Linked DNA regions of Medicago truncatula. The protein of the gene in region 1 interacts with the protein of each later gene in a biochemical or structural test. Links are inferred from orthologs where the notes say so. Each region holds a gene or a part of one and is shown on either strand. Other genes may lie near its edges. The genes, in order: protein NAP1 and protein PIR.

Evidence for each region.
Region 2: the proteins of protein NAP1 (region 1) and protein PIR form a complex in vitro, tested with the Arabidopsis thaliana proteins (2 studies listed by BioGRID). The link is inferred for Medicago truncatula from reciprocal best matches to the Arabidopsis thaliana genes GRL and PIR121.

What each region holds. Positions count from the first base shown.
Region 1 is NC_053045.1:40,729,316-40,741,771, reverse strand, and holds the start of protein NAP1, read right to left. Parts: upstream 5,717-12,456; 5' UTR 5,435-5,716; intron 4,771-5,434; 5' UTR 4,745-4,770; coding exon 4,319-4,744; intron 4,231-4,318; coding exon 4,156-4,230; intron 2,681-4,155; coding exon 2,600-2,680; intron 2,030-2,599; exon of another isoform or gene 2,020-2,029; coding exon 1,939-2,019; intron 1,815-1,938; coding exon 1,732-1,814; intron 596-1,731; coding exon 511-595; intron 1-510. Other genes in the region: chaperonin 60 subunit alpha 2, chloroplastic, read right to left, coding at 10,983-11,270, 12,414-12,456. UniProt on the Arabidopsis thaliana protein: Involved in regulation of actin and microtubule organization. Part of a WAVE complex that activates the Arp2/3 complex.
Region 2 is NC_053048.1:55,153,730-55,166,348, forward strand, and holds the start of protein PIR, read right to left. Parts: upstream 5,741-12,619; 5' UTR 5,558-5,740; coding exon 5,504-5,557; intron 4,744-5,503; coding exon 4,671-4,743; intron 4,503-4,670; coding exon 4,438-4,502; intron 4,356-4,437; coding exon 4,278-4,355; intron 3,243-4,277; coding exon 3,123-3,242; intron 3,009-3,122; coding exon 2,938-3,008; intron 2,860-2,937; coding exon 2,767-2,859; intron 1,926-2,766; coding exon 1,856-1,925; intron 1,699-1,855; coding exon 1,634-1,698; intron 1,067-1,633; coding exon 871-1,066; intron 719-870; coding exon 567-718; intron 1-566. UniProt on the Arabidopsis thaliana protein: Involved in regulation of actin and microtubule organization. Part of a WAVE complex that activates the ARP2/3 complex. Interacts with the active form of RHO-family GTPases.

The DNA.
Region 1 (12,456 bases):
ATCCTAAAGCTTATGTTGTTAGTTGGAGTTACAGGAATGCTTTTATATGTATCAGAGACTAAAAGTTTCTAGTTAACTATTTGTAAGCAACAGAGCATTCCTGCATAGATGGTTGTACTCCAACCAATCACACAATCCATGACAAACAAAAAAATACTCAGTTCTGTTCCAAAGCGAATGAAGTAATATAACTTGATTATTCAATATTTAGTATTTTCCTGAGCAAAGACACAGAAGTATCACAGATTCAAATATTGTGTAAGCACGTGATAGGGAAAACTTTTCCATAAAAAGTTTTCCCTATCACGTGCTTACACAATATTTAACACCAACAAATGTAACTCGGAAAAAGTAGACAGGAAAGTGAGAATAAGTTAAATTTTATCATGACAAGACAGAATTTGGAATAAAAATAATTAGTTATATGACTAGAAAATCTACTCAATTTCTTTATCATATGAACTTTGCAATTATTTATATCATACCGACACATAAAAGAATGTGACTAACCTCTCCAATACGAGGGCTCACAAAATTAAGGTCTTCCTGTAAGCCTTTTAGTGGTGGATCATAAGAATCGATGAACTGAACCAAGCTGTAAAGTAGAGAAAAACATAAAAGGATTGAAATGATGAATATTTGTTTTTACCAAAAAAAATATGACTAGTAAGGAGGAAAATTATCATAAAGAATCTCTCATTGACGCTGGCATAAAATCTATTTTTCGTCATCTTTATCATTTTCATTTCTCATCCATTAGTTCAAAATTCAACTGCTCAACGATCTCATCCCTCCAGGCTCCATCTGTTTTTGCCATAAACTAATATAAATAGCACCTAAGATTTTGTATGAAATTGTCATATACTATATTTTCATACCTGAATTAATAGATATCTAAAACTATAACCCTGATTCTCTCATTCCAACATCAATTTTCCCTCCTCCTAACCATGTTTCTGTAGAGAAGTTGTTATCTATCTACTTTCTCCACATTAAGCACTTCAACTAATATATTGCTGCAATTGAACATCTATTCAAGAAAGAAATTTGAGCCAGCTCTCTACCGATGACATTCTACAGAGGTTAAAGTACATTTTGTTGACTTATTATTTAGTGTAGATTGTATCTGTTTATCATAGCTTACCAAAACCCAGGTTTCTCTCTATATCAAGTCGTTCTTATATGCTCTGTCACTCATGTTTTGTACGCTCATACCTTGTTATGTTCAAGAGTTAATAAATATTCCCCAAACTCTGTTGAAATTTGAGGATTGCCTTCCGATGTGGGTATAAATCCACCCCCTCAAAGCCAACACAAGGCAACCCAAATCCACCCCCTCACAGCCAACACAAGGCTTAGGGGTGGACCGCAGTTAAGGCGGAATTTCCAACACTCTTCCCCTTGTTTTAAAATGCTTCCAGACAAAGAGAGATTTTATCATAACCTTTTCCCTTTCCTCTCTTACCCTCCCACCAAAACAATTACTGATAGTAAATTAGAATCTCTATCTGTCTCTCACCCATCCTCTTCCAGGAACATAAGTCCATGTCGGCATAATTGCACAAGCAAAATGCCCCTCAGCATTTTTTGGACGAAAAGAAAAGGAATAATTTTTTCTTTAAAAAACTAGATTATTCAACATGTTATGCCTTTGAGCGTATAAAAGCATACCATAAATTATTGTTTACCAGAAACTGGAACAATTTAAGACAAGTTATTGGAACATCTTACCGATGATAAAAATCGCAATCCCGCTCATTTCTTGACAATGCATGTAGAAGGTTATAGGTCTGTAGCAACATCTTTCTTGGCATCTGCTATGAAAATAATGGTTTCCAAATTACTGCTCATTTATATTTGGTTGAAACAGTTATTTCAATCCGAATTTTATTCATAAAATGAACAAATTTAAGAAAATAAAAGAGGAAGTTAGCTTGCCTTCTCAGAGAAAAGGTTGACCCGTACAAATGAGCAGAAGAGGTCCATAAATGCATGTAGTATAAGAGAATTCTGATGGGGCTGCAAAACACTGTGCCTAGTTATTTGAGATATGCAGAGATAAAGTAATTATTTATTAGTTTATTCAAATGTGAGGACACCCATTAGCTATTTCACTAAAGTAAAGAACTTCAGATGAACGGGCTAAAAAGGGGTAGAGAATTCAATACATCCCATTTCTGATTCAATATTTGACATGGGCCATTCCTTTTTAGAAAGGAAAGAAAAAAACAGTTAAAAGTAAAAGAAAATAATGGATTATTATTAAGAGGAATAAAAACCAACACCAGGTTGACATGTGCTTCATAAAAAATCTAGACATTTTCAATAATAATAGAGACGACACCTTTGTAGTTCAGAAACATTCAGAAGATTTGAATCATTTTTCAAGAAAATTTGATGTGACTCCCACTTCTCTGCCTCATTAGGGCAGATGTTTGTCAGTGATGAAAAGCCACTGAACCTTTGGCTTGAGTGGAGAAAGAGAAATGGGTTCATATCATATAGTGGTATGTATATGTACAATTACAAACCAGTTCCCAAGATCCTTGTAACATCAAAGCAACTCACATCATAGGAGAGCAACAATATTGAGACTCACCAACAAGGTAATTACTGTACTACTTAGATCCAATATAAGTCGCAGTGCTTGTTCGCGAAACACCATCAAGTCAAGAAGTAGCTGTTAAACACAAAAGAATAATTATCATGTGAGTTCAGGCAACATGCAGCTGAATTGAAAATCTAAAAGATATGCATAAATGGGCAATTTTAGGTGACATAAAATGATATCAATGGAGATCATCTATTGATCAAGGTCGTAAATTACAAAGATAATCAAACCTATAGTCAATCTCGTTAAGATCAATGGTCAACCAAAGCCGATAGAGGAGAAGCATACAATACAATTTTTTTTAAAGTTACATTTAACTGATGACACATGCAAAGCAATGAAACCAAACTTTCATAAGTCAACTGTTGTTTTCTTCATGAATGACTAAGTAAATTGTGTTGGTACATAAAGCATGGAGTTACAAATCATTGCTTGCAGTACAAGAAACCTTAAAAGTTAGAATTAGGGTATTCTATTCTAAACAGTATTATTTATATTGCATTATTAAGGTGTGATTGTTATATACTGAGCCCGTGCCAATTGTACTAAACTTGTACCTTAGCCTAGATTATCAATTATATAAATAGGGGGATAAGTTCATTGTTTGTATTACACCTGTTCGGACTTCCTTTTGGATTAAAATTACAAAATAACTATTAAAGAAGTAATGGATTAGTACAAAATTAGGATTACTTTACAATCTTCAAATAAAGAACAGGTATAGTTGTTAGCATTTGGCAGTACTTTTGTCTTTTCTATCTTATTATATCATAAACCAACTATCAGAAGGGGGGAAATTATCAGGATAAGTGGTGATGGGTTTTTAGCTGTATCCAAGGGCAGTCTATTTAAAGGCATTGCTTAACAGTGTAATGGTTCAGTTGAGTGAAAAATTCCCCGGGGTTTATATTCTAGGTTTCTATGTCACCTTGTGTTGTATCAGTTTTAAATCTAAACTACAAGTTTTAGTCTTTTGGAATTCAGTGCAAGCTTCAGCCTTCTCTTACACTCTTTCCAATCTTTCCTCCTATGAAAAAAATAAATAAACTAGAATTCAATTTCAACTTTTCATAATTCTATCTACTCATGCAGTAAATTGAGTAAAGAAAGATATTGACATGTAGAGTTTGGGCAGTGTTGATATACCAATCAAGTTAAATAAGGTGTCATGAATCAACTAAACAAAAAGCTTCAATTATTGAGTAAATGCAAATGAATGGTTTTATATCCGAAATGCATTGCCACCCAAATTTTTTCCGAACATTGACTTTTATTAAGAAGAATGTGTCAACCCTTAAAAAAGACAGAATGAGTGCAATAATGTTTGAACTCTATACTGTATGATCATACAGCCTTTGGTACCATGTCATGAACAAACCAACCAAAATCATAAGTTATTAGGGGAAAACACATGAATGATTTTATATCTAACATGAGGGCATGCAGCCAAAATGAAAAAACTGAAAAGCTTCAATTAATTGCTTGGGGTTTAAGAGTAGGAACATATGGAAAATAGTAAGTAAATAAAAGTATAAAAACAGCACCTGCACCCATGGTTCCAAGCTCTGTAAATGAAGTTCTGCATGATCTTGCATCGAATCCCAGGCAATCTTATCTATCTGCATCCATATTTTACCCAAATAATAAAAATCACAGGCACTGTAACGAACATTCAAAACGAAAAGCACATCAGACATGACTTCTTACACGTTCTAGTTGCAACTTGCTGAAGTGTTCAGGAAATTTCTTGGAGAGCAAAACACAGATTCTAGGATGGTTGGGAAACACACCAGCTTTCCAAAATCCATCCGAAAATACATGATTAATGGGGTCCGGATAATCCAATAGCTGATTTAACCTATACATCTTAGCCATAAGACCATCGGCAACATCAGTGAGCTGCACAACCCACTGCATGTTAAGACCCTTATGAGGTTGGGACGGCGTACTACCCTGAGACTGCCCATCATGACCGAAATTCCTGGAGCTGGTTGACGACAATGGAGAAGCCGTATTTGTTTCTGTTCCAAGGTAGTCTGCCCATCTAGATGGACCATCCCATTCCCTTGATCTTGCCGCAGTCGGCGATAATGAAGAATCCTGGTTCGATGATTTTTGCCTCGACTTCGCCATAAACTAATAATAATCCGTCTCTGGCTCTGCACATCAAGTTTTCCAGAAAACAAGTTCAAGACCAATCAATCAGCAACACCAATTTAGCTAACTCCTACCCTCTCTCACATTACAGTACCATTGTTTTCATATAATCAAGGATACCTCCAATTTTATTAGCAAAAATCTAAAATATTGAAACCTAAAATCATTAAGCCTCTTGGGAACTATACAATAATATGAATTACAATTACAAACCTAAAATCTTCAACAAAAATCTACAATAATGTATGCTCACCAAATATACAAAAATGAACGAAGATTGAACATGAGTATGATTTATGAGTAGAAAAGATCTTGTGGAAAGAGAATTATTGAGTTATAAGCATGAATTATGTAATTTATAGGCAAAGCAAATTACTAAAAACGGAAAAATGAAAAAAGTAAAACCTAAATTTCCATTTCTAGGTTGCTGTTAAAGCGGTGAGAAGTTGAGTTTGAGAATTACCAAAAGCAGAAAGTGTAACATCAATAAATAAAGAAAGATACAGATTAAGTAAGTAAAAAGAGCAGAAAAAGTAAAAGCAAAAAGCATTTCGTTGCAGAGAATCAAGATCAAAATCTGAAATTCAAAGTAAAAATTGAAAGAGAGAGAGATTCTACATTTGCACGAGAGAGAGAGAGAGAGAGAGAGAGAGAGAGAGAGATTACAGTGGAGAGAGAAAGATGAAAGTCAGATCTGAAATAGAGTTAGTTGAAAGAAGTATGAATTATAATGTGAAATGTTGCTGCTGATGCTGCAAGTGCGGGATGGAGGAGGGAGCTGCAATTTTCAGCGCAGATATTATTGTTACTGTTGTTAGAGCTTTTTGTGTTTGTAATGATAATGATGGTTTATTCAACTAAAGATAGATTAGCCGTTTTTGTACTTTCACATTTTCAATTTTGTTAGTTGTCACGCCTATTTCTTGTGTTTTACTTCTACACGACGTGCGTCTGTTTCAGCTCACTCCTGTGCTTTTCTGCATTTTTCTACTATATATCTACGCTTTTCTGTATTCTAAAAAATAAACAAATAATAATTTTGTTAAAAAAATCATTATTATTATAATTTTACTCAAAGATAAAAAATAATTATAATAATAGTAGAAGTATCTTATAAGTACCACTTAGCTGATATCCGCATAAACATTTGATATGTTGGAAGAGTTTTGAATCCTCAATTTTTTATTACATCAAACTATTTTTTGGCTAAGGCATTGTGATTAGGATTTTTAACTCTTTTTTGGTGATGGTTAGGGTTTGAACTCTGAACTTTGTATACATTATGCATTGTCCATAGTCCATATCAACTGAGTTAAGCTTACGAGGCATGTTAAAGTATCTCAATGACTTGAGTCTTTGAATTCTTTCCAAAACTAGTCATCAAGTTAGCAACAAGACATAAGACATTTTCTTTTTTCACTTCTCCAAACATAATTATATGTGGGATTTTCGCCAATTTATTTAACCAAAAGATGGTAATAATAATAATAACAACAATAAACAAGGGATTCAAACCCCGGACCCTGCATATATTACGCATTATCCATATCGACTAAGATAAACTTATGAGTACAAATTAAACAGAGCATTATAAGGCTAACATGTCGCATACGGGGATGTACACATATGATGATTAGTTGGTTATAGCAACGCATTCATGTTAGTTACATTTGTTATATTATCTAATTTAAAGTTTGATTGACACGTCATTATCTATACTATATATAAAGAAAACAATTTCTTCCAACATTTTGGGTTGGATTTTTCCTTCCAAAAATATCTTCAATTTTCAAGACAAATAACACATGTAACAAATAGATAATAATAAATTTAAATATTAAAATAAAAGTGAAACAAACACAAATGTATAATTTTTTCCTTTATCATTTAAAAAATGTAACAAACTAGATGAGTGTATATACACTTACTTTTTTATTATCCCAATTATACCGTTGAACATCAACTTTTTTTATAATAAATATTGTTATTGGTGTCATTAAAAAAAAATAAAAATTTAGATCATGATTAATCTGATTTGTTATAATTTAAAAGCAAAAAACATTTATATTGTTACTTTTAATCAAAATTAAAATTTCATAAAAAAAAACACCGTTAATAATTTTCAAACGTTAGCATAATAAAAAAACAAAAAGACGATAAAAAAAATAAATGACAATTTAACTCAATGTATAAAATTGAGAAATTTAAAATATAGAGGGATAAATTATAAAGAAAAATAAAAAATGAAAAAAAATTAAGGGACCAAAATTGTAGGTCGAGCATAACAAGCGGCCAAAAAATTATCCAACAATTTATAGCGCTCCAAGTATTTTAATGAGAACATATCTAAGAATGGATAGAATTAGAATTGTTAATCAAAGAATTAGAGTTAGATTATCTTACATGTGGTATTCCCCCTTTATTGAGAGTTTTTCACCTGATAATGTGATAGAATAATCAGATATGATCACTATTTTTTGTTTGTTGATGGTTTTTTTTTTCTTTGACATAACAATTTTTTAAAAGACAAATAAACAAATATTATAATTTAGTAAACTCGTTTAGATCTTCTGCTTAAAACTAATTTTCAGAGATCAGGTTTTAGATCTTCTGCTTAAAACTCATTTAGTGTTCTTTAATGGTTACATATATAGTTAGTCATTTATTATGATATTTTTTTTTTGGGCTTAAATGGTAATCCACTAAAAATAAACTCACACAATTGTGAGGTCTCGTGTTCGAACCCGGATCACGACGTCCGACCTTGCAATTTTGGTATTTGTCAGTTGATCTATGATTTCTAGACATTATGATACTTTTTTACTATTCATTATTTACGATTTTTTCTTTAAAAAAAACTATTTATGATTTTTCTTAGTAATTTGTTTAAGTTCCAACTATGTTTTGTAAAAAAAACTATGTTAAATCTGATAAGGTATATTTATAAAACATGCTGTATTAATTATGTGTTTATGAGATAGTTATAGTGATATGTCATGTAAGTGTAGTTCAATTGGTAGTTTCATGAATATTAAGCACGTTTTGAACTCTAAATTTTTCATTTCTCTCTATCCTTGTGAGTATAACCACTAAATGATCTGAAAAAAATAGTAGTTGTAACTTGTAACATTGAAGTGATAAACGATGTTGCATGCATGCATACATTTATGTATCCTTTGTGGGCAAAGTGCATACAATAATGCTTTGGTTTCTCAATTCTTAAACACATTAAAAATTTGTCTATTTTAAAGATGAATTTTCATTAAAACAAGCTTGTAATGGATTCTATGACCACACATTTAAGGGACCCCTAATTACTTACATCTCCAATATATACCAATTCATATGCTATACAATTAGGATGCCTAATAAAAGACTATATGATGTTGCATATACGTCAAAAATGCATCCCTCCATACCGACGAGGCCAATGATGGTTAAAAAAGTGATTACTGATTAATAACCACGCCACCGCATCCAGTGGCATTCACTGTACGAGGTATACATATATGGAGTAGAGTATTGGTGGGTCATTGTACTATTTAACTAAAAATATCTAACTAACAAATATACAAATTAACCAACTTTTTGTTTCATTATGCTCATATGTGACTGAATGCTACGGCAATATCTTGATAAGTAGTAAATGCCAAGGTGCAGTTGGTGAGGAACTAAAGCATTTGCAGAACAACAATAATGATGTAGGGTCACAAAACAGTGTATTTTTAACACATATGAATCATTTGGTCCTCCCTAGCTATAGTAAGTGCCTACGGGGAAGATATAGTGGCGATTAGTGTGAATGGAAATATTGATACTTTGAAGCCAAGTGCTGTATCTTTGAAGCATTTCTTTCTCTATTAACATACTTCACTTACACATTAAGCCACCATCATTTCATTTCATATTGTCAAGTTAATTAATAGTGTATATCTTTCTGTTGTTTGCAAGTATATACATCAAATGTTCACTTTTCCAAGTGTGAGTTGGGGTTTTAGAAGTTTAATATATTACCTTCCTTTATATTTTTATATGAAAAAATATTTGTGTGCGCTGATAACTCATTTAAAACTGTAAGAGGGATATAAATAAAGAGGGGAATCACCCCTCTCGTGTGATATGATGGTCCATTGAAATCTTTATCATTCATTGCAAAAGAGAGATAAAGAGATTTTAAAAAAATTAAAGTGAATTTCAAATGTGAAGATCAAGAAATATGAGGAAACATGAAAAGAAAAAATTGAGAGAATCTCTTCCCGTTGAATGACAGTTTGAGAATTATGAACGTACAAATATAAGGATTATTTTTATGTTGAATCCATTTTAGAAAAGTCATTACACTTGTAGATGAAAATAATAAGTTTAGACGTTAGATTAAATTAAACACTATCATATATCCTGTGAAAGTAGATTTTAATCAAATCTTAAGAGTGGATTTCAAATCACACTGTCATTATTACAAATTATTGGTTTGAAAGCATAGAATCAGAAAAATGATTTTACCAAAAGTTATCTTATCTTATTGTGATTAACCAAGACAACTCTGTAAAATAATTTGTTTACATCTCACAGGGTTGCAAAAATAAAATACTTATTTTTTATGGTACTGAATTTTACGAAGGTACTGATATCTTTAAGAATTAATTTTCAATATCAAGACATGCTCACATGCATTCTGTTAGTTCAAGTTTAAAAACCAGTTATTTATGTTTCAAGTGGTATTCATGAATAAAATATTAACCACTTACTGTTTGAAAATATATATAGTAGGGATTGGGAAACCTTCAACAAATAACTGTTTAAAAATATTTCAGTAAAAAGAAAGTTAGTGTTCATAAATAAATATTAAGAACTGACTTTTTACAAAACTTTCCCCCGATAAACAGTTTGGTCGGTAAAAAGAGATAAAAGTTTGTTCAGGTAAAGACTCTTGAATGGAAAAGGAAGGAAGTCAGTGTCTGGACTCTGAAAGCTTCAATACCTACTTGTTTTTATAGTAATATATTACTTGAAACGGTTTAAATTCTCCTTAATTGAACCACTAAAATAAAGAAAGGTAGCAGTTGATCAACCATAGCTAGCACGTAGCACATTACATTCTAACAAATTCAAGACCATAGCTAATTTATAACATAAATACAATTACGAGAGAAGCAAGCAATTATTCACACACAAAAAAGAAGCAATTAACGCATGTTGAAAATTGAAACTATATGCTGTCCTTGGACATATATAAATTGCTACTCATGTTGGGGCGAATGAGCCAGTGTCTCAATCAGAAATAAGATTAATTAACTAAAACGTGTTTCTGAAATGAGTATGTTTTTTTATGTAAAAATGATTAATTAAATAGAGGAGATTAGAAACAGTGGGGCTTGTTAGAGAGACATACGACATCATAAGTAAAGGAAGAAGCAGGTGCTGCTACTCAATTACTCTGCCAAACATTACAGTTTCTATAATCTGGAATAATATACTCTCCTTAACTGGAAAATGAAGACACAAGTCAGCGTAGTAGGAGAGCCTTCTTAAAGTAATATTGTTGCAAGTGTACCTACTCATCCAATAAAATGAAAGTACAGAAAATTGATTAATATTTCAAGACTTACAAGTCATCCAAATGGGCCAGATTAAAATTTTGACAAATCCATCACATGGTTTTGACAAAGCAAAAATTCCAAGTTGTGTGGTGAATTTAACATATTTGTACTTGACTTTTATAAATTTATCATTTAGATTTGATCAATTAGACCATGCATCTAAGAAAAAGATAACTTTTCCTGATTTTGAAGCAGAGTTTAGCAAAGAGTCAAAAATACCTATATAAGCATATGTCATGGCCTCGAGGAAAAGGATAGACCGGTGTGTGTGTAGACCAGCAACCATTGGGAGATGTTAAATCCTTCAATAGATTTCAATACCTCGAGATATTAGCGGCTGGCTTAGACAAAAAAGAGAGCAAATTCCATGACACTGACACACTTAAACATCCAAATTGGAGTTTATTATTGACAATATCAGATATAGGTTCCTAATTGTTCCTATGCTTTGTAATACATGGGTTTCATCATACCCCAAGAGTAAGAAACAGCAACCGTGACTTTTCCATTCGTAAGAGCATTCTTGTTGCTGCCCAAGTACTAATCAACCCAATGGACATTCATTATCAAATAAGTCCTACTCTGTTTTCAAAACTGTAATTGTTTTCTCTATTTTAGGGAGTTATACCAGGGACCAGGGGTACACGTGGCTTGGGTTTTTTTACTTTATCAACCAATATAGCTTGAGTAGTTAGAACCACGCCAGCAATGGAGACTGCACTTTGAAGAGCACATCTTGCAACTCGACTAGGATCTGCTACTCCAGCATTCAAAAGATCTTCATATGTGCCAGTCATGGCATTGTATCCGATTCTCCAGTCAAATGTTCTAGTCTTCTCGACAACAACATCTCCATCAACTCCAGCATTAGCTGCAATTGATTTAGCAGGTTCGACAAGTGCCTGCAATGATTCATGCACAACTGCTTACAGATATGCAAAAGTAGACAAGTTCATAAATAAATACCTTTCACAAAGTTAGTCTCAATCCTACAAGAAAAGGAGGGGAAAATAGCTGAGAAATTTCAAAACATTTTTACCAGAAACTAAAATTAATAAAATTTAAAAATAAATATCCTAACAAATATCTCAGCTCAATAAATGTTGATCATTTCTCTCTCCTAAGGGACAGGGTAATGCTATATGGTAACTCTAAGCAAACTAGAAAGATGCAAACGCGCAGGGTATGAATCATTGAAACTTGAGATAATTCTTCTATGCCAAACTGAATTTATATTCCAGGGTATGAATCAGTTGAATTTCGGATCAAATATCATTTGATGATACAAAAAGCGTGTGCGCACTCAAAGTGTGAATCTATTCTATCTAAGGAACTGAATCATATCAATCAATTAAAGAACAAATAAAATACAATCAACAAGAAGAATAAGGCTTATTCCCTAAAATAGCAAGGGGAGAATACTGCTAAAAGTAAAAACAGAAAAGACTGAACAACTGCAGATGGGTTGAGGAATGACAGATAATCCCCTACTCAAGCGTTAGTATTTTCATTTTGCATTATCATTGCAAATAAATATTCATAAAATCCAAACATATGTTCCAAAGAAATAGCAAAGTAAGATCCATTCAATGAAGTACAGTCAAAATGTAAGAAACCATGGTTAAAATCTTAAATACACACACTGTATAGCTCAAGCATATGTTTTAGAAAAGAGAATGTTCCACCATAAATAAATGAGGTATGATTTGCGAAGCAAATGTTTTTTCTTCAATTAGAATCAAACAATAATTTTTTTTTTTGAAGAAGGAATCAAACAACAATTTAAAAGAGAAAACTCAATGACCTCGCAAAATATGCAAATTTCACAAGTCAAAACTCTCCCAATTTTTTCATGGAAAGAAAAGGCAATATAATACATGGAAATAATCGTAGAAAATTCACTACAAGTTCAACTTCATAAAAGAAAAAATATTCAGACTCGGAGAGGTGAAATAGAGCTAGCAGACTGAAATTTGTTTTTTTTTTTAACAAAAGACTGAAATTTGTTTTTTTTTTTAACAAAAGACTGAAATTTGTATTCATACCTTCGCCACAATATCAGCACCAATTTGCTCATCTAGATCTTCC
Region 2 (12,619 bases), on another chromosome or scaffold:
GCACAAAATTTTGCAGGAAGAGAAAAACTATTGCACCAAATTTTCAATGCTGAGACAACCGATACGGTTTTCAACAAATGTATTATTCAATTCTGGCTAAAATACAATATAATAAAATTTTCAATGATCAGTGTTTTAGTTCCCCTCAATATATATAATCAGGCCGTTAATTTATTGCTAAATTCTGCTAAACCGAATGTACATATATGAGAACTTTATCTTGAGGTTGTTTCATACAAAAGCTCTTTCTGTCTCATCTCTCTCTGCATCTTCATTTTCTATTATTTTTCTTCACTTTCTCATTCTCATTTCGAACAGAATTCATCAACCAGAAGTAGAAAGAACTACAGAGCACCCTCCTTGCATTGTTTAACTCGAAAGAACAAAAAGCATGCAATTTGTTATCCTGAAGTATATGTCACAGTCACAATCCATCTATTTGTGGTGAAAGTGACAACAAGTAATATTTGTTCATAACAAAGGTCAAGGAAATGAAATATTGGCTCAATAATACCAAATATTAGCACCAAATTTTCAGTTAAAACAAAAAACAATTTAGAGGATATTCTTGTGCTTCACGAGGTGGAAGCTCGTGAGGTGCTGCAAGGGTGAGAAGGCGAGTTTGGGAAGAAAATTTTGGGAAATATGTTGATAGTTCCTTCATTATCGCAGCTGGAGAGAGATGCAAATCTGGAAAAGCAGGAATAACTGCTTCGTTCTGTATAAGATAAACAGATCTCAATTTCCAGTCAACAAAGAAGAATTCAGTGCATGAAATGTAAAGTTCTTCAGGTAATTCAATAGCACCATCTTTTCTTAACCCAGTAGATATAAATTATAATTTATCATTAAGCATATATATAACAGTACCTTAAATATATTGATCAGTCTGTTGATTTTTACCCTCTTGTACAGAGACTCGCTGTCTTTTTCTGAAGATGTCACTAGGACAACAAGAACAGGCAAAACACGCAAAAGAATGTGGCGCTCCGGAAAGAGAAGTGCAAAGTCCAATTCCAAGGACTCTACAGCAAATACTATAAGAACTTGAAGAATGTCTTCTACACTAATTCAAGTCAAGGAATTGAATAAGAAATAGAAGAGGGGGTATACAAAAATTAAAGTTAAAAATGGTGATACACATACAAGTAAAAATTGAGTCGGTGTGATAAAACAACAAGATTATTTGCACAGACAGTATTCAAAGACAAAACCCAAGAAGTAAAATTTAGATTAAAAATTATTCTAATCAGCTAGATTTCCTCCAACTTGGTTTAGATTGAAAACATGAATAGATCAGTTTCTTCATTTCCTAGCTCTGAGTGTCGAACCAACTCCGCTTGTTTCTTTTGAATGAAAGTATATATGCATTAAGGAGAAAGTCCGTTGATATCCTACACTCTTTCTCAAAACTAAAATTTCAACATAAACTAGCACTCAAATCTTCTTCCCAATAGACCATTTTATCTGTCAGATGGAATCAGTTCCCACGATCATCCTAAGCAAAGATAACTTCTATCCAAGAAGAAATAATAAATAAAGAAACAATTACAATTAAACCAGAAAAGTGGAAATGATGGTAGCCATGTGGATTGTGGAAAGGGAAAAAATGTGAAGTAGATATACAGGATACTTATTTACACGGAACATCTCAACATGCAAATTCAACAAAATAGCCCATCTAGTGCTCAAGAAAATCTGCACATGCAATGATAAAGAAAGGTCAATAATCCATTTTTGCCAGGATTTTCAATCAAAATAAAATGTAAATGAAGATTATGGAAAATCAAACAATAAATAATAAATGTACATATTTCTGAATTTCAAACACTGGGAAATTTCAATGATTATGCACCTGTAAATCGTCTAATTCCTCCCTCATTGAATCAGTATCTTGCCACTGACCACTAACTTGTGTGAAAGTCCTGACAAAGTGGGGAGAAGCAACATGAATGCATGAGAAACTTCATTAAGTAAATGAGAAAATTTAAAATATTCAAAATTTATGTCTTCCTTATTTTCAATCTCTCAAACCAGACACAGAACTAATTTTTTATCATACAGAGAAAAACTGAAAGAAACTGAATTTAACAAAACAGTGTAACAAAGTTTATGTCTTCCTTATTTTCATTCTCTCAAACCAAACACAGAATTAATCTATCATCTTAAAGTACAAAGAAAACTGACAGAAACTGAATTTAACAAAACAGTGTAACTTTACTGGAGAATATGGATGCCTAATACTTTTTATATTGTATGTCAAACTAAAGTAGCTAGGAATGTCATGCAACCCTCATGCACTCTTGGTCATGCAGTTTTATAAGAAGGTGATATTATCAACTGTATGCCCATTTAGTTTCTTCAATGACATTTTGGTCACCACATACATAGTACCCAATCAGACACTTTCGTCTGAAAATCTCGTAGTCAACACTAGCTTGTTATTCCTATAGTATATAATATTTAACATTTTAGGTGAGGCAAAAAGTTAGATCCCTAAAGTGCCTCAATTTGAAGTAGGTGTTCCAATCAACAAAGCATTGGATCGAATGTACTACAGAAGTTACATTCAGGAACAACATTGATAAATGGAGAAAATCTCTGCTCATTAATTTACATGTTAAACAACAGACTCCTAAAAGCGGCATTAATATAAAAGGATTCAAAGAAGGAACAAAAGAAAGACATAACAAACAGAACCTGAAAGTAAAGTTGAAGATCCGCTACATGAAGATAAAGTAACATAGGCAGAAACTAAATGCATACCTTTTGTACCATGAAAAGTCATTAGGTATGCTTGCCTTGGCATTTTTAAGATGGTCAAGTTGCACCAGAACATCAAACAACTTCAACATAGACCTAGAGTCAAGAATAAAGCTATTAAATAAATAAATAAATAAAAGTGACAAAAACAACAAAATAAGCATTATAACACACCAAAGATGAGATATTGTAGGCCCATTAATGCGCCGCTCAGGCCTAGAAAAACGTTGCATGTCAGTCGCTAACTGCATAAAAAAAAGACATGAATGAATTTACTTAACATGCTAAATGTCTGAATCAAATTAAGTTTCTGAAAAATAAAAAAGAGGATCATACAATATGTAAAACACAACCCGTACTTTTGAGGAAGCCGATGCTTGCCATCGCTGAATTTCACGCAAACGACTCATTTCCAAATCCAGAACTTGGTATGTTTCCAAATATAAGTCAGCTTGGCTTTGCTTCATAGAATCAGGAAGCTGTCCCATTGTGGCAAAATGCACAAGTTATAGGAGAATCTATAAACATATGGAAACATGAAATGGATTTCTTTTTTTTTAAGGGAATGAAAATGTATTTCTGATAGGGTCATTTTAATATTATCAAATATATCAATAGACCAAAAATTTATTTTGAAAATGAATGCATGCAAGATATCATGTTGCATACTTGCATTAAGCAAAGCTATCATTTACTTATGAAGCTTCAACTACTTGATTTCATTCACTATCCCAAAAATATAGGTTTGACATTAGAACTCTGTGCATGGACTATCCAACAAATTTGCCTTTTCAAAATGCAAAGTAGACATTTCATGTGAAACTGGCATACAATCGCGGTAACTTCAGATTTAGTGCCAGGAAAATTCAAATATAATCGGCCAAATTACACTAGAAGTCCTTTAAGTTTTCGGTTTGTAACACATTGGTCCTTTTAGTTATTTTAATTTCATATTCTTCCTTTAACTCTTCAACAATTTGCACTCTTATCCTTGTGGTGGTTAGTTGATGATATGGCAAGTACACATCACTAGAAAAAGTAATTTTTTATTCAAATCCAGCAAACTCATCCATCTTCATCCTCTTCCTTTCATCTTCTTCATAATCTTCATCTTCTTCCTTCCATTTTCATCATCAAACCCAGAAAATTATAATCTCCATATTAAAAAAATATAAAAATTCAACTTCTCTCTTCATTTATTATGTTTACAATCCATAATAAATTACTTTTCTGCTGATGGGTACTTGCCATGTCATCAATTAACAACACAAGAATAATAGTGCAAATGGTTGAAGAGTTAAAGGATGAATATGAAACTAAAATAACTAAAAGGACCAATGTGTTACAAACCACAACTTAAAAGGACTGCTAGTGTAATTTGGCCAATATAATATGTACTTCATGTCTAAAAGTAACCCTTTCCCTTCTGAAAATATTTCCTCATTAACCAGTAAAACAGCATATTTTATGTCCATTGACTGGCTTTAACTACCGATAGATGATAGAAATATTACCTGAGGAAGTGCTTTGACACAACTACGATATGTGTAAAGCACCGATGCCATCTCCTTTCCCTCTTGGGTAAGAGAACTCTGCATTTTGTATAGCAAAAGCAGTCAAAATTTTCATCAGACGGGTTAAACAACAAAAATATCCCAAGAGCAAGCATCATACCAGCTGATTGAGAGCTTTCGTATCCTCTGACAGAGATAGTCTGTATGCCGCAACATCACAATATTCTACACAAAAAAAAAAAAGACGGCATTAGATAGCAATTACCAATAACTCTGCATCTTTCAAGCAAAACTCAAAAGACTCCGACATTATTTTCAAGTAAATTTACAGCGCAATCTCAAATTAGCGGCATATCTGGAGAATAATAGTTGAACTATGGAATAGGAAGTTACCTATTGGACTCTCTGTTGCACCTCTCTCAGTTGATACCCACACTCCAGGTCCTTGCACCTCTGGTTGCTCATCCTACATAATTAATGAACAAAATACAAATCACATGAAAAATTACCTTGCATATACCGAAATAAGAACTTCAAGTTCCTGCAATGCGTTATTTTGCAAATACAGACTGTTTGGATACACAACTTATTTTGCAGCTTACAGCATAAGTGCTTATCATATAAGCGCTTATGTATCAGCTAGTTTTGTAATAAAACATGAAATAAAGTCAAAATGTTTTAGTATAACCTTTAAGCTATTTTCATGATCTATCATGGAGAGCTTATGAAAATAGATTATGAAAATTTCATAACTTATTTTCATAAGTTCTTCCAAACAGTCTCATAAGTGCTTATGCCAATACGCAATCCTAAGTGATTATTAGATTACTAAACATTTCTATGATTAGAATTAACGCAAATTAAGGAAATAGATTATGAGAATAAGCTAAACCTTTTAAGCTGTTCTTATAATCTATCCTGGAGAGCTTATGAGTATAAGCTGAAAATAGTTTATGAAAATGTCATAACTTATTTTCGTAAGTTCTTCCAAACAGTCTCATAAATGCTTATGTCAATACTGAATCAAATGTTCTTTCAAATCTATGAATTTACACTTAATAATAATAATTAGATTACTAAACATTTCCATAATTAGAATTAACGCGAATTTAGGGAATAATTGACCGAATCAGACCAAACCGTTGCAAAGAAAAAGGAACGATCCAAAAGCGCATTTGAAATTTGGTAGCAAATGAAATGAGAAAAATGTAGCAGAAATTGGATACCTCGAGCGAGAATGTGGAGAGAGCTGCAATGGCTTCTTCAACGGGAACTGCCATAACAGAATCTTCTAGAAATATTGAAGGAAAACGAAAGTGCGAAGCATAGAAAGAAGAAGAAGAAAAAGATCAACTACAATTGCTTTGTTTCTCTCTCTCCACTTTCCCTCTCTAGTTGGTAGAGTCTTCATTTGCAAGATTGAGCAGGTACAACTTCTGTGTTGACTATAATGCCCTCCTTCTTTGCTCTATTTTCCATTTCTGCTACTTACTATGAGGGAAGGTGGTGATTTTAAAATTTCTTTTGTATTAAGCTAATCTTCCCTGATTTGCTTTGAACCTAAGCTAAAATAATTAGTACATGATGATGATTCTAAAATAACAAAGTTTTCAAGAAAATAAATATTAGTACATGATTTACATCCTTACTTTTACCGTACAAAAATTTTTATGAATATTCTTCGCTCTTTGTTTGAGTGTTCATTTATTTTGCAAAAGCAAAAATTATTCATGAATATTTTTTAAGATATCATTTTTTTTTTTTGAAAGAAAATATATCATTGTTTTTATCACGTGCAAAAGTCATTTACAAATTCGAGTCTACCAAGATATATTAAAAAAAAAAGAAATTGAGTCTACCAAGATGTTCTTCTCAAGATTTTCAAAGGTTAAATATTTTTCATTAAAACAAGCTCAAAATGCATTATAAAAATGTGATTCTAGTTTCTTTCTTCAACTAGATTTTTTTTCAAAGATAAAATAACAATATTGCTCAATTATACCAATTACCTAAAAAAAAATATTATTTAAGTGTTTTTAAAGATACTCTAAAATTCTTTGCTAAATTAAGTAAGATTTTGTCTTCAACCTATACTTGAATATTTATTTTTTCGTTCTACAACTAGTTACAATAAAGTCTGTTGTTTATTAGCAACACAAAATTGATTGTCCATCCCAATCTAGAGCAACTGCATATGAGTGTTGATGTAGATCTTAAAGGTGTTCTTGAATGTGATGACAAGGATAATAGCATGGTGTTTCTTTTCTATGATAACTCTAACGAGTTTTGATCTTCGTTCTTGGAATGTCAAATTTTATATACGCTAAAGAAAGGTGTTCGTTTGAAGGAAAATCATTGGAGATTTTTTTTACTTGTAATAGGAGTTTAAAATTTGACATGCTTGTGTTTCTCAATGTAACTGTTCATTTTATCTTAGATTATTTATTTTTCTTTCTTTGAAATGACAATCCTTATTTTAGACCTTATATTATGATATTAAATTTTGATGAAATAACAACAAAATCGAGCATGCCTAAAAAAGTTAGAAGAGATTCTCATGATATCAGTTGTAACATGCAAATTATTAGATGGGAAAAGTCGCGAGTTCAACTTAATCTTTTTGTGTGGTTAGATTTAGGAGCGTGTGTTCAATATGGGTTTTGACCAAGTGTGAACCAAGTTTGTGGAAAAGAAGGGTTGTGAAAGTAAGGGTGAAAACAATGAGTGTGATAAAAAGTGTCTCGAACGATGATCTTTTTAGTGTTTTCCACAAAAATTAAGGCTTATGGTTTTGGCTTGAGTTTGACTAAATTGAAAAGCATGAACGTAATCTCGATATGTAAATCCATGTCAACGTATTTCCTCAATGCTCATGTACTTTCAATTAGAAAGGCTCAAGTCATGGTTATAAGTCTTCCCTTTTGCAGAAACACAAAAGATAGTCATTCAAAACACTAAAGCTCATAGAAGCTGAATCTTTTTCCGTCATACATATTGGTGGTTCCACCCTTACTTTCACAATTTTTTTCACAAACTTGAACCATACTTGGTCAAAACTCATATGGTAAGCACATATTTCTCAATATCATCCAACAAATAGATTGAGTACCTGTTTGGCATAGCGTTTTCCCATCTCAAACGGCGGTTTAAAAGCTGAAACGTGGTTTCAACATTTTCTTAGGTGTTTGGATAACTGCAAACGGGATTCTACCAAACGTGGTTCTAGCCCCCAACGCCCGTTTATGAAAAGCTAGAAAATGAAGCTTTTGCGGCAACTCAACGCCAGTTTGGAATTTAATTTATGGTGACAAATTGGAAATTCCCTAATTACCCATGACTTGTTTTCTATTACCGTGTTCCTTTCAACAGCACAAGCCACATTGATATTGTTTAATTTCTCAATTTCTCAATTGTAAGGACAAATAAGATTTTCGTTTCATTACAGTGATGATTTATACAGATTTTTTTTTCTACATTTCAGACCAATGAATATTCTTTAGTTGCTCAGCATTCTTGAACCTCTCGTTTTTCTTACTCGGTGCTTTTATGGAGTTTGATTCTTTTATTTGATTTGAGAAGACAATGGATAGTGGGCTAATGGATAAAGACTCAATCCTTTTTATTTACTTTTTCATAAAAATGTCAATTTTAAAACAAAAGAGTTGAAACTTATTAATGAGTTTTCTTAGGGAATTTATTAGTTATAATAATAATAATTACAACCCATTTTAGTAATATTTTAAAATTAATTTTAAATTGTTACCTAAAATGGTAAATATATATTAATTATAACTCTTATAATTATTTTAAAATTGAATTTTTGAAACAATAATAATCCAGTTATGACAATTAAAATTTAAAAGGGTGCTTTAAAAAAAATCAATTACAAGGATAACTAGGTCATTACACATTCAAAATCAATTTTGATTCAAACTATCCAAACAACATCAACTTATAAAAATCACTTTTAAACAAGTTTATCCAAACATAATCAATTCTCCTCAAACCCACTTTTAACAAAAATCAATTCTCTCAAACTCAATTCTATCAAAATTAATTTTCGCAACCGCCATACCAAACACACCGAGTTGAACCAGTGACTTTTTCCCATTTGAAAATTCTCATGTTACAACTAATATCATGACAATCTCTTTTAACTTATTTAGAAACTCTCGATATTGTTTTATTTCATTCTCAAATTAAATGTCATTATATAAGGCAAACAATAAAGATTATATTTTCTTAAATAAATGTGTGTGAGAGAGAGGAGTATAGTCGTAAGATCTTTGAACTTTTTGAACTTTGAACATTTATAGTTATATAATAACAATGATTTTATTGACGAGGTTGTGACCGATATAAATCAAGAAACTTAAAGTAGCAAATCTTTTTATTCAATTGTCATATAATTCTTTAATTTGGAAACTTGGAACTATCGACGTATTTCTTTTACTTCTAAATTTGAAAAATAGTTTGAAAATGATTTTTGAATAGCATTTTATTGAAATAATATGTCAATATCTTTTTTTAAGGGAAATATGTCAATATCTTATCAATTGATATTCTATATTTTATTCACCGATCTTAAGTTAACTTTAAGCATAATGCACTAGAAATTCTATAAAAGAAACAAATGAGATTTTTTTTACCTCTCTAAGAACACATTTCCCTTTTTACATTTTACCTCATTGCTACAATTAAAAGGATTTGATTTGATTTTACTACATTTAATTTGGAAAATGAGGAAAAATGCTAAAGGGCAAATGGTTTCTCGTTTCTCACATCACATCTAACAAAATATCATACTCCCTCCGTATTTAAATATAAGCAAATTTTACTTTTTAGATTCATTCATTTAATGATATATGTTGTCCATATTATGAACCACATACATCATTAAATAAATGAACATAAAAAATCAATTTTGCTTATATTAAAAAACAGAGGGAGTATCATTATAAATTAATAGAAGGTAACCGAATCTCACTTTAAGTCGTACTAAAAATTTATAGTCTTAAAGTTGAATAGACTTAAAGTTGATTTATGAGTCGGTGAATAACATATAGAAACATTATAAATTAAATGGTGATTTTTAGCATTATAAAGTGGTATTTTCTCTTCAAAATTATAATTGGGAAACAAATCACCATTTTTGGGTCAGAAATCACCATCTTAGGAGTAAAAATTATAATTTGGGACCAAAATTGTAACAAATGTGATATTTAGGGAAAAAAAAAAGGTGAATTCTAAGGTGATGGCTCTATCAAATCCCTCACCGATGCATCACTATAAACAACAATTAAGATCATTAGATTAATCAAGTCCACATATCCTATTCTACATTACATATATTAGATTATCCCTCTATATATTTACCACCCAGCCTCTTCATGCTCCTTTTCTATTCTCACACTGAAACCACCCATGGGAATATCCATGAACAACAAGGTCCATTGTTTTTGTTTATTTTTCTTGCAAATATTTATTTGATTTTCTCTTTTAATTGATTATCTTAATTTTGAAGAATTATGATTCATAACACAGTTATCACACCATTTTATCAAATTTGCTTAAGATAATTTCATGTCTAAGCACTCTTTCTAGGGCCATTTTCAATCTTCGTTGTTTTTTATTTTGGTTTACTAGTTTCTTTTCTTCATGAAACGGGAAGTTTTAAATTTTTACAAGCAACACAATTCTTAGGGGGTATATTGGATTAGGATTTTAAAAGACTATTTTAATAAAAAAAATCTTCAAGATTTTAAAATATTGTGTGAGATTGTATTGATTCTGTGAGATTTTAAAAGACTTTTTATGTAAAAGACTTCATACACTCAAGATTTTAAATGATTTATCACACTGACTTTCAAGGATTTTATGGAATTTTAAAATTTCAAAGAATTCAATGAATTTTTGGGAAAAAAAAGAACAAACTTGCAAGCGTGAATGATAAAAATAATGAATAATTAAATTCTAGCGTTTGAATAAAGAAAAATAAAATCAATAAAAAATTCTTTTACTATTAAAATTTTAAGAATTTTATAAGATTTTAAGGGATTAAAAAACACTCTAACACATTATTCTCAATACACATTTTTTATTTGTTAAAAATGTTATTCCCACAAAATTCAATTGTACATATTTAAAATTATGCCAGCACTTACAAATCTTTCAGAAATATATATTGTGTCAGCCCTTACAAATCGGTCGAGTTTACACGAATTTATCGAGTGTTAACTCAGTCAAACTCGTCAAACCTTCTAATTTTACCAGAAACTGAGTTTACCTCAGAGTTAACACGATTTTGGTACCTAAAAACGTAAACTCGGTAATATTCTCAATACAATTTTTTAATTTTTTATGAGAAAGAGAGAGGGAGAGAGGGGGGATGAGAGAGAGAGAGAGAGAGAGAGAGAGAGAGAGAGAGAAATGAGAGAATGGGAAGGGGGAGGGGAGAAACAGAGACAGAAGGGAGAAGAAAGAGATAATAAATTTTAAAAGAAAAACAATATCATCTTATAGGATTTTTTTTGTTATGCGGACTAATGGGTTACCTGCGGCCCGTTCGGGCTATCCCAAACGGGTACCGGGCTAAAAAGCCCTATTAAAATTCGGGCTCAATATTTTAGGCCCAAGCCCTATATTTATTCGGGCTAAACGAGTCTGCCCATACGGCCCGGCCCGTTTTGACAGCTCTAGTCTTTACTATAAATCATTAAATCATATACATCATTTGATGAATCAAATATAAATCTAAAATGTCAATTTTTATTTATAATAGTGACCGAAGGAGTATGGGTCCCACACAAGTTTCTTTCTCCCCCAAACTGAGAAGAAACCCAAGAGAGCACTAATATCCTATTGTTTTCCTATTATACCCTTCTGTCAATTTAGTTAATTTTGTTTGTGACATTTTAGTTTTTTTTTCCATCGTTAACTTTAATCTGAAAGTGAGTTTTAAAAAAATGCAGTGTTAGTTTTTTTTTGTTATGTAATCGTAACCTTTTTCTTTTTTATACTATCATATTTTATAGACCGTATTTTGCTATTTTGGAAATTATGTCCATACTGATTTATAATTTTTTTTAGGGTATTGTTAACGAGTGCTCCGATGACACTTTTTAAGGAGGATTCCAAAAGAAGAAATTATTTTATAAAAAAGTCAAATATTTTGATTTTCGATGCATTGATTACACATATTTTTATGATAAATTACTATTTAAAAGCATTAACTAGTGCCCCTGTCAACATTTCTTTTTTTTTTTTTTTATATATATTTCATTGTTTACTTTTTTTCTTTTTAATCAGGTAGCTTAGTGGCAGGTGAATAAGTGGGATGATTGGGGTTCGAACCTCAGCCCATGCATAAAATAATGCATTGTCCTCATTATTTTATATGTTTCAAACATATTTGATCATTTTTATTCCGTAATATTAATTTTTAATATATCTTATGTCATATTTTAAATCAAACTTATTATTTTACTGTAAATTTATGATATTAATAAAAAATATAATTTGAACATTTAAAATTCAATCCAATTAAACTACATTAAATTTGATCGTATTGGATTAGACTTTTAAAATAGTCCTCCAAAACTTAACTTTTAATCGAATGAGTTTTCGTTTTAAAATCAATCTAAAGTATGAAGCCCATATACTCTAAAATGGAGACGCACCCGTATCGGATATCGATAATCCACGGATACTCTCGGATACGTACCTACGAAATATCGGAATTAATTATTTTAATTTAAAATATATATTTTATCGGATACTTATAAGATACTCGACAGATACACACAAATACTTATAAGATACTTCACAGAGACGTATCCTGGAAAAAAATGAAGCTTAAATAAATGAGACTGTGTTCTGAAAATTTAATGGAGATGTATATGATTCAATTTAAGATATGAATCACTATAATTATTTTTCGATAACCAATTAAAAATTATGTTTTTGGTGGATGAAAATAACGAGAGAGAGGAGCTAACCTAACATATGAACGAAAATATAATATGATTTATACGAAAACTTTACATTTTTTATTTTGATCACATATATTATTTTTTGTAAATTGTGAATTTTATGATTATATAGTATTGAAGATTAATCAATGTTTTTTTAAGTATTTTACATGCATATAAATTTTAGTATAAATATTTTGTTAATGTATCTTAGCCGTATCGTTTCCGAATTTTAAAATTTTCGCGTATCTACGTACCCGTATCGTATCGTACCTGTATCCGTACTACGTATCCGGACTTCATAGATCTAAACTATGTTGCAAAAACCTTTAATACATATGATCTAAGTATGTGACAAGTGGTGCCCAAGGG